Linked DNA regions of Elephas maximus indicus. The protein of the gene in region 1 interacts with the protein of each later gene in a pairwise test. Links are inferred from orthologs where the notes say so. Each region holds a gene or a part of one and is shown in the gene's direction. Other genes may lie near its edges.

The links.
Region 2: the proteins of SYCE1 (region 1) and BFSP2 interact in binary tests that used the Homo sapiens proteins (3 or more experiments, as listed by UniProt). The two-hybrid records come from large-scale screens. The link is inferred for Elephas maximus indicus from reciprocal best matches to the Homo sapiens genes SYCE1 and BFSP2.

The regions. Positions count from the first base shown.
Region 1 is NC_064834.1:83,296,281-83,304,155, forward strand, and holds the start of SYCE1 (synaptonemal complex central element protein 1), read left to right. Parts: upstream 1-4,873; 5' UTR 4,874-5,027; coding exon 5,028-5,097; intron 5,098-7,875. UniProt on the Homo sapiens protein: Major component of the transverse central element of synaptonemal complexes (SCS), formed between homologous chromosomes during meiotic prophase. Requires SYCP1 in order to be incorporated into the central element.
Region 2 is NC_064844.1:46,439,248-46,446,217, reverse strand, and holds the start of BFSP2 (phakinin), read left to right. Parts: upstream 1-3,913; coding exon 3,914-4,402; intron 4,403-6,970.

The DNA.
Region 1 (7,875 bases):
TCTTCAGGCTACCTAATTTTGTAGTAGAGAAGAAACAGCTACAAACATCCATTAATAATCGGAACATAGAATGTATGAAGTATGAGTCCAGGAAAATTGGAAATCATCAAAACTGAAATGGAATGCATAAACATGGATATCCTGGGCATTAGTGAGCTGAAATGGACTAGTATTGGCCATTATGAATTGAACAATCATATGGTCTATTATGCCAGCAACGACAACTTGAAGAGGAATGGTGTCGCATTCATTGTCAAAAAGACGTATTTCAAGATCTATCCCAAAGCACAACACTGTCAGTGATAGGATAATATCCATACACCTACAAGGAAGACCAGTTAATACAACTATTATTCAAATTTAGGCACCAACCACTAAGGCCAAAGGTAAAGAAATTGAAGATTTTTACCAACTTCTGCAGTCTGAAATTGATCAAACATGCAATCAGGATGCACTGATAAATACTGGTGATTTGGAATGAGAAATCTGGAAAGAAGGATCGGTAGTTGGAAAATATGGCCTTGGTGATAAAAAACAGTGCCGGAGATCCCATAATAGAATTTTGCAAAACTAATGACTTCTTCACTGCAAATACCTTTTTTCACCAACATAAATGGCGATGCTTCACGTGGACCTCACCAGATGGAATACACAGGAGTCAAGTCGACTACATCTGTGGAAAGAAACAATGGAAAAGCTCAACATCATCAGGCAGAACAAGGCAGGGGCCAACTGCGGAACAGACCACCAATTGCTCATATGCAAGTTAAAGTTGAAACTGAAGAAAATTAGAACAAGTCCACGAGAGCGAAAGTACCACCTTGCATATATCCCACCTGAATTTAGAGACCATGTCATTAATAGACTTGATGCATTGAGCCCTAATGACCTAAAAGCAGACACAGGAAGCATCAAAAGAAAATGGAAGGAATACAGAGAGTCACTATGCCAAAAAGAATTGGTCAGTGTTCAACCATTTCAGGATATAGCATATGATCAAGAACCGGTACTGAGATGCACTGAAGGCACTGGAGAAAAACAAGGCTCCAGGAATTGACAGAATGCCATTTGAGATGCTTCAACAAACTGATGCCATGCTGGAAGCGCTAACTCATCTATGCCAAGAAATGTGGAAGATATCTACATTTGTACCCATTTCAAACAAAGGAAATCCAATAGAATGTAGAAATTATCCAACAATATCATCAATATCACACAAGTAAAATTTTGCTAAATATCATTCGAAAGCAGCTGCAGCAGTATATCGACAGGATCTGCCAGAAATTCAAGCCAGATTCAGAAGAGGACGTGGAACAAGGGTTATCACTGCTGATGTCAGATGTATCCTGGCTGAAAGCCGAGAATACCAGAAAGATGTTTACCTGTTTTATTGATTATGCTAAGGCATTCCACTGTGTGGATCATGATAAATTATGGATAACATTGGGAAGAAGGGGAATTCCAGAACATTTAATTGTGCTCATGAGGAATCTATGCTTAGATGAAGAGGCAATTGTTTGAACAGAACAAGGGAATACTGTGTGGTTTAAAGTCAGGAAAGGTGTGCATCAGGGTTGTATCTTTTCACCATACTTTTCAATCTATATCCTGAGCAAACAATCCCAGAAGCAGGGCTATATGAAGAACGGGGCATCAGGACTGGAAGAAAAGTCATTAGCAATTTGCGTTACGCAGATAACACAACAGTGCTTGCTGAAAGTGAAGAGAATTTGAAACACTTATTGGTGAAGATCAAAGACCACAGCCTTCAGTATAGATTTGTAAAAATGGTGTGGGGGCAGTGTCTGACCTTCTCCAACCCAAGGGGGAAGGAGAATCAAGATCAACAGCACAAGGCTGACTCCCATGAGGCAGAGGCCAGACAAGCTTCCTCTCTTTGCCATCTGTACTAATTCTGACATCAACTGTCCCTCACATAGCACTCTTTACTTCTCTGCTGGGCTCGATATTTCACTGCAATGACCACAGAGAACTCAAAGACCATATTTAGGGTTTATTATAAGGGAAGTAACTGTTATACTTCTGGCTCAAGAACACTCAGGATACAGTTCTTTCATCAGGACAGCCTCTTCCCAACCCTGCTCACAGGCACACCTCTCCCTAGCCCTAGGCCTCTCCCCAAAGATAGTCAGCTTTCTCTGTGGGCCAGGAAGCCCAATCCACCTTCTCCTGCTGCCAGGCCTCTCCTGCAACCGCTTCTCACCCTCTTTAGGGTTATAGCTTGCTCTCTCACTCCTTTGGTCTCCTGCTTCCAGGAGCTTCTCAGCACTGGGATCCTGGGTCCAAAGGACGCGTGCTCCACTCCTGGCTGTTCTTCGTTGGTGGTGGTAGGATCCTCCTTTCTGCTCTGGAATTGGCTCTCTTTTAAGTCAAAAATGACCAAGCCCCTTGGAGGGCCACAATTATCTTATCACACAGTCCCACCCAATCACCTGAGTGGGAGTTACAAGACCATGGCTAGAAAGACCACACAGAAAAGTAATTAATCATACGGCAGGATTACACCTCAACATAAAGGAAAAAAAAAATCCTTGCAACTGGACCAATAAGCAACATTATGTTAAATGGAGAAAAGACTGAAGTTGTCAAGAATTTCATTTTACCCAGATTCACAATCAACGCCAGTGGAAGCAGCAGTCAGGGAATCAAACGACACATTTGGGCAAATCTGCTGGAAAAGATCTCTTTAAAGTGTTAAAAAGCAAAGATGTCACTTTAAGGACTAAGGTGTGCCTGACCCAAGCCGTGTTGTTTTTAATCATCTCATATGCATGCGAAAGCTGGAAGATAAGTCAGAAGACCAAAGAAGAATTGACGCCTTTAAGTTATGGCAGATACCACGGACTGCCAAAAGAACAAATAAATGTCTTGGTAAAAGTATAGCCAAAACGGTCATTAAAAGGAAAGATGATGGGACTTCGTCTTACCTACTTTGGACATGTTATCAGGAGGCACCAGTTCATTGAGGAGAACATCATGCTTGTTTAAGTAGAGGGTCAGCAAAAAAGAAGACCCGCAATGAGATGGACTGACACAGTGGAAGTAACAATGGGATCAAACATAGCAACGATTGTGAGGACGGCGCAGGATCCCGTAGTGTTTCATTCTATTGTATGTAGGGTTGACAATATCTAACAACAGATGGTTTTGGAGCCCTGGTGATGCAGTGGTTAAGAACTGTGGCTAACCAAAAGGTTGGTAGTTTGAATCCACCAGCAGCTCCTTGAAAATCTTGAGACAGTTCTATTCTGTCCTATAGGATCGCTATGAGTCAGAATCCACTCCATGGCAACGAGATTGGGTTTATTTGGCTAGCTATTGTTTTATGTTTGACTGTTCAATTGATTGATGGATCCATTCTCAGTCACAGGGAACGATCCCAATCAAGCACTTGATGGAGGTGGGCGCAAGGGAGAGCTTCTTGATGTGAGGGACCGGCGGGCATGAGGCCCTCTCCCCAGGGCCCTCTAGGTGGTGGTCGGGTTCTGTGGCTCTGCGTGGGCGGGGCAGACTTGCACCTGCAACGTGGCCACCTCATGATCCACTGCAGGCTGCCTTCCTCTTGGTCCCTGCAGGGTGCTGCAGGCCAACCCCCAGTCCTGGTCCTCTTGCCTCAGCTTCCACGTCAGCTTGCTCAACCAGAGGGCAGCAACAGCGGGTCACGCCAGCCTGGCCAGCAGGGCTAAGGGGTGCAAGGATGCCGGCCGGGGTCCTCTGGATGCACTCTCGCCAGGCCTGCCCTCGGGGCCAGGTTGACGTACGGGCCTGTGGAGCAGAAGGAGCAGCCCTGATGTCAGGAACATACTCAAATACTGCCTCCAGGACAGTGGCTAGAATTGTATCCCCCGCCCCGGCCCCCAGGGAACTCGGGACCCATCTTCTCTTCCCAGAGATAAAGCTCTGGCACAGCAGACAGTCCGCATCTGCTCCCCTGCCCCTGACCCTATAGCCGGCGGGGGGGTGTGGGGGAGAAGGGGGCCTGCCGGTCGTGATGCGCTGAAGTAGAACGTGCCCATCGACTCCACCGATTGGGCGTCGGCAAGGGGTCCAGAGGCCCCAGGAAGAGGTGGAGACTTGGGCCTGCTGAGGGAACCAGACCAGGACCTGCGGGAGCACCCAGGACGCCGTGGCACAAAACGCAGGCTCCTCAGGGCAGGATCCAGAACGAATGCGCAGGCGTCCGAGCGTGGTTCCGAGGCCCCGCCCGCATTGGTGGGGGCGGGGCCCGCAGGCCGCTGAACACCGCCGTTGGTAGCCGGTTCTGAGTATCTCCCCGTGTGTCTCCGTGTTCTTTTTCATGGAATGTTTCTCTGTACGTCCCTTTTTGTCTCTGGAGTTCTCTACTAAGAAATGGCTGCGACCCCAAGTTCCTGCCTTGGAGCCATCGGTGAAATGAGGACATCTGGCATCAGGTGTTCCCTGTTGTTGTTAGGTGCCGTGGAGTCAGTTCCGACTCACAGCAACCTTATGTACTACAGAAGGAAACACTGCCCGGTGCTGCAGCATTCTCACTGTCACTGCTATGCTTGAGCCCATTGTTCACTAAGGAGTATTAGCAGAGCAGGAACGCCAGCTCTTGGCGCCATGGCACAACACATGCGCACTTACTCCAGCCTCTGTGGGCGGGGCTAGAGGCCCACGCCTGCGCAGCACCAAAGATGCTAAAGGAGCGCGCCCCGCCCGTGTCGTTACACATGCGCAGGACACTGGCTCCTCAACTGACGAATAGCAAGGCCGCAGGCTGCCCTGCCGTTCTCTAAACTGGATTTGTGGACCTGCAAGTTTTACGCATGCGTACTAGCTGCCCGGCAGGGCGCCCGACTTCTTGAGGGCTCAGGCGGGGAACCGTTACACGCCTGTTTCTCTCTTCTTTCCCTCCTCGCGAAGTAACTGCAGGGCGGAAGTGCATTGCGCAGGCGTGTTGCAGGGGGTCGCGCCCCTGGCAAGGTTTGGTCCAATCATCGGCCCAAGCGCCGAAGACGCCAACACCTCCGAGCTGAGAGGAAATGGCGGGAAGGTCGGGGCTTTCGAATGCGGAGCTCGCAGGAGCCATGGACCGGTCTGAAAAAGGCGGAGGTAGTGGCGGGAGGCCGACGAGGGCCTTCTTGGTAGCTGGGTTGGAAAAGACTCGGGGTGCGGGGTCCGAGCGCGCTCCAGCTGGGCGGGTGCGCGGACGCTGGGCCGTTCCATCTTTGGGATGAAAGTGACTGAAAACGATTCTAAGTTTTTTTATTGTAAAAAAACGTTGATCGTTCTTCAAAGAGAAGGGAATAGTTTATATGACTCATTTAACTTGCACTGTATTTTGCTCCTTTGAGTTTTTGCTGAGGCAATTTAAGTAGTTTTCGTGAGAATTTCCGTATGAGTATCTACAAACAAAAAAAATAAAAGGGCTTTTCCCTTGAAGTGCACACCTAAGGGAATCCTCATTTTAACGGCCAGTCCACAGCCAGAGTTCCCTGTTGCCCCAGATGTCCCTACTGTGCCTGGTTTGCTTGGAGACCAGACTGTCTTTCCTTCGGGCAACCAGGGAAAGGAGGGACACGCAGCTTGTTCACATTGTACTAAAATTGAGGAATTGCAGCCCAGCAAGGAGATGAAAAACAGAAAAATCTCCCCAGTGTGTTCTTTGGGAATTTTGAACCGTAGAATGCTGTAGTCAACGCGCTTGTTGATCACTGTCTCGATACTTACCTGCGCCAGTGCCTGCTTGACACATGCGGGTGCTTGGTAGTGTTTTTACAAAATAAATGTTTGAATAATGAAATAAGTTTAGCACAGATAGCTCTCTTAGAGTAGGACTTGACACCCAGTGACAGGCCTAAGGACAAAGAGAAAAATAAACTGGACAGATCTATATATATCCCATTTTTTAAAGCACCTGCTGTGGTCTCCACTCACCATGCCGTAGAAGTCTCTTAGTGTCACGGTATCAAGTTACTCAAATAAGCTAATATATTTAAATAAAGGTTTTTTCAACTTCAACAGCAAAGGAAGAAATTTAAATTTTCAGTCCATCGGATTATTTCAGAAAGGGAAGCAGGGTGATGTCTGATGTCAGTGACCCTGTGGGGACACATGCCTCCCCATACTGAGCTGGTAGGAAGACCAGTGGGTAAAGGTTTTGCAGTAACACATCTGGCAGGATTTTTAACATTTAAATTGATTTTTCCTTTTTCAGTCACCTTCCTAGCGGATCACACAAAACACACAGATTCTGCCCCACTGGTGGTAGCAGAAAATGGGAAAGGAATGGATAAATCAAAGTATACTCATGCACACTGTGAAATACCTGGTGGTGGATTTCTAAAATAAGAAATTTAATTAAAATTAAGTTAAATATTAATTAAAGTTAATTTTTACATTATTGGATATATTTATACTCACAGATGATTGTCAGAGGACATATTTTTATGAAAGAAAAGTAATTGGAAAAATTATGTTTATAAGAGTGCTGTGTGTTGCACAGAAAAATGTTTGGAGGCTGCGTTCTTAATTTATGATTCTGGGGAGTGGATTTTGATTTAGAGGGTGGTGCGGAGGTGAAGGGTCATTTTGAATCATATGGTTTGATTTTTTTATTAAGAAAATGTAGGTAGTACTTGTAGTTTAAAGTCAGGAAAGGTGTGCGTCAGGGTCGTATCCTTTCATCATACCTATTCAATCTGTATGCTGAGCAGATAATCTGAGAAGCTGGACCATATGAAGAAGAACGGGGCATCCGGATTGGAGGAAGATCCATTAACAATCTACGTTATGCAGATGACAACCTTGCTTGCTGAAAGTGAAGAGGACTTGAAGCACTTACTGATGAAGATCAAAGACTACAGCCTTCAGTATGGATTACACCTCAACATAAAACCAAAAACCAAAAAAACCAAACCTGTTGCTGTCGAGTCAATTCTGACTCATAGCGACCCTATAGGACAGAGTAGGACTGCCCCATAGAGTTTCCAGGGAGCACCTGGTGGATTTGAATTGTCAACCTTTTGATTAGCAGACATAGCACTTAACCACTATGCCACCAGGGTTTCCCCTCAACATAAAACAAAAATTCTCACAACTGGGCCAATAAGCGGCATCACGATAAATTGAGAAAAGATTGGAGTTGTCAAGAATTTCATTTTTCTTGGATCCACAGTCGACACCCATGGAAGCAGCAGTGAAGAAATCAAAAGACACATTGCATTTGGCAAATCTGCTAAGAAAGACCTTTTTAAAGTCTTAAAAACAAAGATGTCTTCTTGAAGTCTAAGGTATTCCTGACCCAAACCATGGTGTTTTCAGTTGCCTTATAGGCATATGAAAGCTGGACAACTAATAAAAAAGACTGAAGAAGAATTGACACCTTTCAATTATGGTGTTAATGAAGAATGTTGAACATACCATGGTATGCCAAGAGAATAAACAAATCTGTCTTGGAAGAAGTACAGCCAGAATGCTCCTTAGAAACAGGAATGGCAAGACTACATCTCGCATACTTTGGACATGTTATCAGGAGGGATCAGTCCCTAGAGAAGGATTTTAAGCTTGGTAAAGGGTCAGCGAAAAAGAGAAAGACCCTCGATGAGATGGATTGACACAGTGGTTGCAACAATAGGCTTAAACGTGACAATGATTGTGGGGATGGTGCAGGAACAGCCAGTGTTTTGTTCTCTTGTACATAGGGTCACTGTGAGTCAGAACCAACTTGACAGCACCTAACACCAACAATAACTTGTGGAATACTAAAATGTAAAGGAGAAGGGGGGAATTTTTGAATGCCATTTGAGGAGCAGATGTTAATATCTATCACTGTTAATACCTTGGTTTCAATTGTTGTACCATTGGTTACCACATAGAGAGTACTTCAAA
Region 2 (6,970 bases), on another chromosome or scaffold:
TCCTAACATCACACAACAGGGCCTCCAGGGCAGCCAGCGTGAGCATGCACTGTGCCAGCTACAGGGCTGCCTTTTCCTAATGGAAAAGTCTCCCCTTTAAGTTCGTTCCTGCTTCCCCTCCACTGCCCATATCTGCATTAAACCCTCGTGCCTTTTTCTCTAGAGGGTTTAGATGCAGACCTAGCCCACCAGCAAATGTTTATTAGGGTTTGGAGGTTTGTTTTCTCAAAAGGCAATCTTATTGTGTCCCTGAAAACATGTTTGGGGTAGGTCTGTAATTTTAGGAACCTTCCTCCTGCGATCTTAAAAAACCGAGATTGCTAAAGCGAATCGCTTAAGAGAAGATGCCCTTTAACCTCCAGTCGGTGTTACAGATCTGCCGTTGGGGTCACCACAATGACTGGTCCTCCAGCTCTGTGTTTTGTAGACGATAATCCCCTCCGTCTGGGGTTGGCTGCCTGCACCTCCCTCCCCATACTGCGTCCTGCATGGCCAACAGGAGTCAGACCCTCGGAGATACAAGAAGGACTTCCAGAGATGGGCTGCCTGTCTATTGTTTTTTCTAATAGCCAGTGGCTGGGAGAGAAGATAACTGCTTTCACGTTTCCTTTCTCTAAAAGAGAAATAGTTTGATAGTATATTTTGAATATAGATGCTATTACAGTCAGATTGGGAATTGAACTTGAATGTTGACTTACATGTTAGTGTCGTTGCTGTGGTCTTTTGATCATGACTTTTTCCTTTCTTCCTACGTTTCAGTTTTTAAAATATATATATGGCCTTCAAAAATGTGTGTTCTCAATGTTGTATGAACTTACTTAACCTGTGTTTGACTGTTGTCTTTCTTCAAAGACTCTTGGACCTACAAAGAAGCAGGTTAAATGCTCTGAGATCCATTCTCTAACATGCTGCTGTCTGGCCTTTTTAACCTTATCATGATATTTCTGTTAGCTATTGCATTTAACATATCTGTGTGTGTGTGTGTGTGTGTGTGTGTGTGGAGAGAGAAATCTGTAAAGTAAAATTTATATATAATATATGTAATCAAAGGTACATATGTTATATATACGTATGTGGATGTATGACTTATTTTTCCTTATCCACAGAATTCAGCTACCATGTATATATAAATAAACTTATTTTATTAGCCAGAGGATTGTTGTTAATACATTTTGTGTTCTTTTCACTTTAACGTAACTTCCTTAAGGAGTCCCCATATCACCTTGTGCCTAGCTCTATTTTTTTTAATTGGATTTAACAGCAAATTGGGTTTAATGAGTGTGATGAGCTAGTAGGATTAGCAGTCTATCATTTGAGAAAACAAATCCTTTAGAATATGTTTGTGATTTCTCCAAAAGAGAATCCTCTCTCTTAGGTCTTTGGAGACACCGGTGTCAGTTAAGATGGGCCACCTCCTCATCCTACCCCTCCCAGGGCTCTGTGGAGTCATTGTAAACATCTTCAGGATAGAGCAATCTGAAGTTAACCTGGCCACTGAGGGTCACCACTCTGTGGAGAATAACAGTGCCTAAACATATCACCTTTGCCAACAACTTCACCCATATTTTGGACCCTTCATTTAGCCTTGATACATCCTGGAATTCACAAGAATGCAGATCCTTAGGCCAGTCAGTGTCTCCTACATTGCTGTTGGGTACCATCTAGTCGATTCCAACTCATAGTGACCCCATGTGGCAGAGAAGAACTGCCCTATTGGGTTTTCTTGGCTGTAATCTTGATGGGGCAGTGGTGGCACAGTGGTTAAGAGCTACCAGCCAAAAGATCAGCAGTTTGAATCTACTAGCCACTCCTTGGAAACCCTATGGAGCAGTTGTACTCTGTCCTATAGGCTATGAGTTGGAATTGACTCAACAGCAACAGGTTTGGGTTTGGGGGTTTGGGTAATCTTGATAGCAGCATATCAACAAGTCTTTCTCCGGCGAAGCCGCTGGGTGAGTTCGAACCACCACCATTTCCAGTAGCATCCAAGCACTTACCTGTTGTGCCACCAGGGCTCCTTATCACTAACACTACCCAAACAAAAAAAACTAACACTGGGAAGATGTTATTATACACAGGCTTGTCTGTGCCATGACCACATCAGGTGCACCAGAGGTGGCACTCACAGCAAGAAGGCCAAGTCTAAAGAAGGGATACCCCCAGCCTTTGCTTGATCAAGTTGGTTTCTTAATCTGTTAATCAAATAACCAACCTTGATAAAATGCCTTTTATGCCATCTCAGATAGATGAAGAAAGAGAAAAAGGCAGCGGGGGCGGGGGAGCATGGTGTTGTCCTAATGAGCAGCAAAGAAGAGCACACAGGATATTCTTGTAGGTGAGTAAGGTTTTTAACTCCTGTGGGACCTTGCATAGGTACCCTTCTCTAGTGGTGGGAGACAGAGAGGGCCTGGGTCAGTCACTGGACTGGAAGTCAGAAGAGGCAGCTCTGCTCCTTTCTGGAGATGAGACCTTGGGCAAGTCATTGAGCCCTCAGGGCCCTCATAAAATGGGAATACTGGCCAATTGTAGGGCATGTGATGATACTTCTAGAGTTGTGCAGTGCGCCCAAAATGGCGGTACACGTCAACCCTGTACCTACCTCCAAAAACTGAATTGAGAAGTCAATGAAGTAAAGCATGGAACCCATTTACTGGGGTGGGTTCAGTACTCACTAGAAGTTGGTTCCCTTCCCTTTCTCTCACTCACTTCAAGTCTGTTCCCACATTGCAGGGTCTGGGATAAATAATTCAGCTCTGGGTTTTGGTTACCTGGTTTCTCCAGAGTAAGACTTAAGTTCAATGGGTTTAGGTCCAGGTTGTCATGCCCTGGGGCTATTTTCTGGCCCTGGAGAAGTGACAGAAGGGTGATCCACGACAGCATGCCTCGGTGGATGACTACTGAATCCTAACTTGAGTTCCCTTAGACAGCTAACTGGAAAACCACTCTCCTTGTTGTTCTTATTTATTTGTTTTCCAAAAGATGAGGAAACAGGTATGGAAAACATCCGTAGCATAATAAGTATCCAATATGTGTGGGACCCAGATTTGCTCAAGGTCCCTTATCTCGTGCGTCAGGCCAGCGTGTGGAACGCAAGGTCCAGAGAAGTGAGGTAGCTTGCAGCTGATGGACAGCAGAGCTAGAGCCCATCTACCTTGACGGACCCTCCACACCCCAGGCTCTCTCTGAGGACACCTCCCCATCCCTGAAAGACACAGAGACAAGAATGCCCACCCTGCCCCCAGGAAGGGGGCTATAGGGCAGAGGTAAGAAGAGAAGATAGAGGTAGGGAGGGACATGAAGCTGCTGCTATGATTGAGGGGGGTGAAGGAAGCAACAAGCTGGCTTGGTTTCTCTTGAGCCCCCAGGACTGCCTCCCCCCATGCTGGCCTTCATCCACTTTCATCCTCTATTACCTGTTGACACATGTGCACATTCAGACCAGCAGCACAAACAGGCACTGAAATGAGGCCTGGAACACCTGGATGAAGCTTTGGCTAAACCACTCGCTAATGAGCTAAGGTCTCTTGTACCTCAGTTTATTTATCTGTGAAATGGGGCTGCTTGAGACCTGCCTTGCCCTCTCTTAGATAGTGAAAGCCTGTCAACACATGTGGCCCAATTACATGAACCCCCCGATGAACCACCCCCACAGCCTGCACTGATATAGCCTCCCCGCCCCCACACCAGCTAAACAAGCTAGGAGGTTGGGCACGTGGTCCTGCAGAGAATGCCTGAGTGCCTGTCTGCAGCAGCCCTGGGCAGGGCCTGTCTCAGCGAATTATGGAAACTCATGGAAGTAGCAAACAAAGCAGCCTGGGGGCGGGGGAGCTTCCAGAGAGGTCTGTGACCAGGCCACTGGGACTGGACTCCAAAAGCCACTGGACTGTGTAAACCCACAGAGACAGAAGGGGTGATGAGCGAGAGGCGAGTGGTGGTGGACGCACCCACCGGTGCCAGCTTCAGCATGTCCCTCCACAGGCGCAGGGCGTCCTTCAGGGGGACTCAGTCATCATCTCCCCTGGAGAGCGCCCTGGGCTCCAGGGCCAATGTTGGGGGTAGCCTGGTCCAATCACCTCTGATCTATATAGGCACAACACCCACCGGGTACATAGGTGGCCAGGGTGCCCACGTGACCTGCCGAGCCCTGGGCATCAGCAGTGTCTTCCTACAGGGCCTTCGGAGCTCAGGCCTGCCCTCTGTGCCTGCTCCTGGCCTGGAGGGGGACCACGATGCTGCTGAGGACTTGGGGGGCTGCTTGGTGGAATACACGGCCAAGGTACGTGCCCTGGAGCAGGTCATCCGGGAGCTGGAAAGGCAACTGCGGACGCACCTGGAGAGCAAGGCTGCGGGCTCGGGAAGCTGGGGTGCCCTCAGGGCCTCCTGGACCAGCAGCTGCCAGCAGGTGAGTGCCTGGGCCGGGCCACCTCTGCAGAGGGCCTGGAGGGAACAATGAAGGCTGCCTGTTGTACCATCTCTGGGGTCATTATCAGAGAGTCCGAGGGCTGGGGTAGGGGACAGGGGAGTGAGTGATCCAAGGCCCAGAAACTGACCGCAGACCTTTACCCTTCCGTGCTAAAAAATACTACTAATGATAATAATAACAACAACAGTGACAGTGGCTACTATTTACCGAGGTTCACTAGGGGCCAGGCCCACACTCGTTCCTGTATGCACGCTCTCTCCTATAATGTTCACAGTGTAGGCAGTGGCTCCATCATGGATTTCATCTTTCAGATGAGAAAACCAAAATCACAGAAGTTAAGAAACGTGCCCACGATCACACAGCTAATTGGGAGTTGAACCTGACATTTGAACCTGAAATTTTCCATCTTCAAAGCTTGCACTTGTCCCATTACCCTGGGCCGCCTGTGTCAGCCTTTATTGTTGTTACGTGCCATCGAGTGGATTCCAGCCATCATCAAATTCAATACCGCTGAATGGATGTGGTACTAAAAACGATGAGAAAATGGAAGCGTGTTCCTCTATCCACCCATAACAAAACTGTCCAAAAGAAATGTAACATGAGCCACGGAGGTAATTTCCAGGTTTCTATTAACCACCACAGTAAAAAAAAAAAAAAGGGAAAAAGAAACAGGTGAAATTAATTTAACATTATATGTTATTTAACGCAACATATATTTTTTTTTATCCAAGATGTTATCATTTCAATACGTAAAAAAAAAAAAAGCTTTCTATTTTAGTACCTTTGACGGGCCACCACCTGTCTGTCAGTTTGTTGTACCGCGGTGGCTTGCATACTGCTATGATGCTGGAAGCTGTGCCACTGCTATTTCAAATACCAGCAGGGTCACCCACAGTGGACAGGTTTCAGTGGGGCTTCCAGACTAAAAGGGACTAGGAAGAAAGCCTGGTGATTTACTTCCGAAAGTTAGCGAGGCAAACCTGATGGATCACAACAGTACGTTGCCCAACTCGCTTTCTGTGGACATCCGGAGGGCTCAGTCACTGGAGGAGGATGTCATGTTTGGTGAAGTACAGGGCCACTGAGGGTGTGGGAGACCCTCAGTGAGATGTATTGGCACAGCACCCATAACAATGGGCTCGAACATAGTGGAGATTGTGAGAATGTCGCAGGACCAGGCAATGTTTGGTTCTGTTTTCCATAAGGTCACCATGAGTCAGAGTTGGCTCATTGGCAGCCAACAACAACTTTTAATGGCACTTTTTTACCACTTTTTGAGCAAGAGGTCCCATGTTTTCATTTCACAGCGGGACCCACACATTACATGGACCATCCTTGTTACAGGGTTACTGTATTATGAAGTTCCTTTCCATTTCCCAGCCTCTCTCTTCTGGCTCCCAGGCTGTGTCCCACCCTCCCAGCCACTTCTCTTGCTAAACACGGAAGCAGACTGAAAACCCCCAGGCACTGGGCAAAGAGTCTGAGGGGGACCCCCCGGCTCCTGCACACTTCTCAAGGAGTGTTTCCCTCTCGGCCTTGCCAGGGGCTCCAGACTCTTCTTGCCACGTAAAGGATGTTGATAATCACCTCTGGCGGGAACATCAGGCCCTTTTCATCGTCAAATAGGCCAAACACAGGCTTGGAATTTGGCAACCACCCTGTCTGCCTCAGAGCTGCAGATAAAAGGAGAGGGGACGGAGAAAGGAGCAGGAAGGAGCTGAGGCCAGGGTAAGGGGGACGCTGGCTGGGGAAGAAGGGAGGAAGTGTGGGCCTTTAAATTGTCACCACTCTGTTATGGAGCCACGGAAATTAGGGGTCTCCCCTGGAGAAAACGTCAGCTTATACCTCCAGTGGCAAAGGCTGGCAGCTGGAGGAGAAGGGGAAATGAATATTATAAAAAGTTAAGAAGATTAGAATTTAAAACAGGCCTGATCTGAATATTTTTCCTGCTGCTCACAGTCCCTGTTTCTGCCCCTTGCAGAGAGACAGCCCCTGCTCTGGGGGTCTGCCTATCTGGAGAAGATGCTGGAAACTTAGGTAGTCTAAGTCAGGGCCAAGTTTCTCTCCCCACAGAACCCGTGGCCCTAGGAGCTTTTTTTTTTTTTTCTTTTAAAAAAGAAGAAACAAGAACAGTTCCTCTGCTGAGTGAAAAAAGAAAGGCAACAGGATCATTGTTCATGATTCAAGACCTGGTGTCCCTGAAAGGGGAGAGGGACTTGAGCTATTTTTAGCATGTGTACTCCCTGAATTAAATAATACATTGACCCAAGACAAAGCCACCCAGCCTGTTTGGTCAGAGCAGGTCACTCTGTTAGCCAAGCTATAAGGGACACTGCAGTATCATTAAAATATAACTACCAGGAGAAAAATATATTTAGGAGAGTTTCAATTGGGGAGAGTGATATGTAAGACTTCAAGAAATATTTTGACAGGCCAGGGGAGGGGGCAGGGGCATGAGATCACAACCAAGGAGGTTGGTCAAGTAATATTAAAAAAAAAAAAAAAAAAAAACCCATTGCCTCCTGGCTGATTCTGACTCAGGGCAGC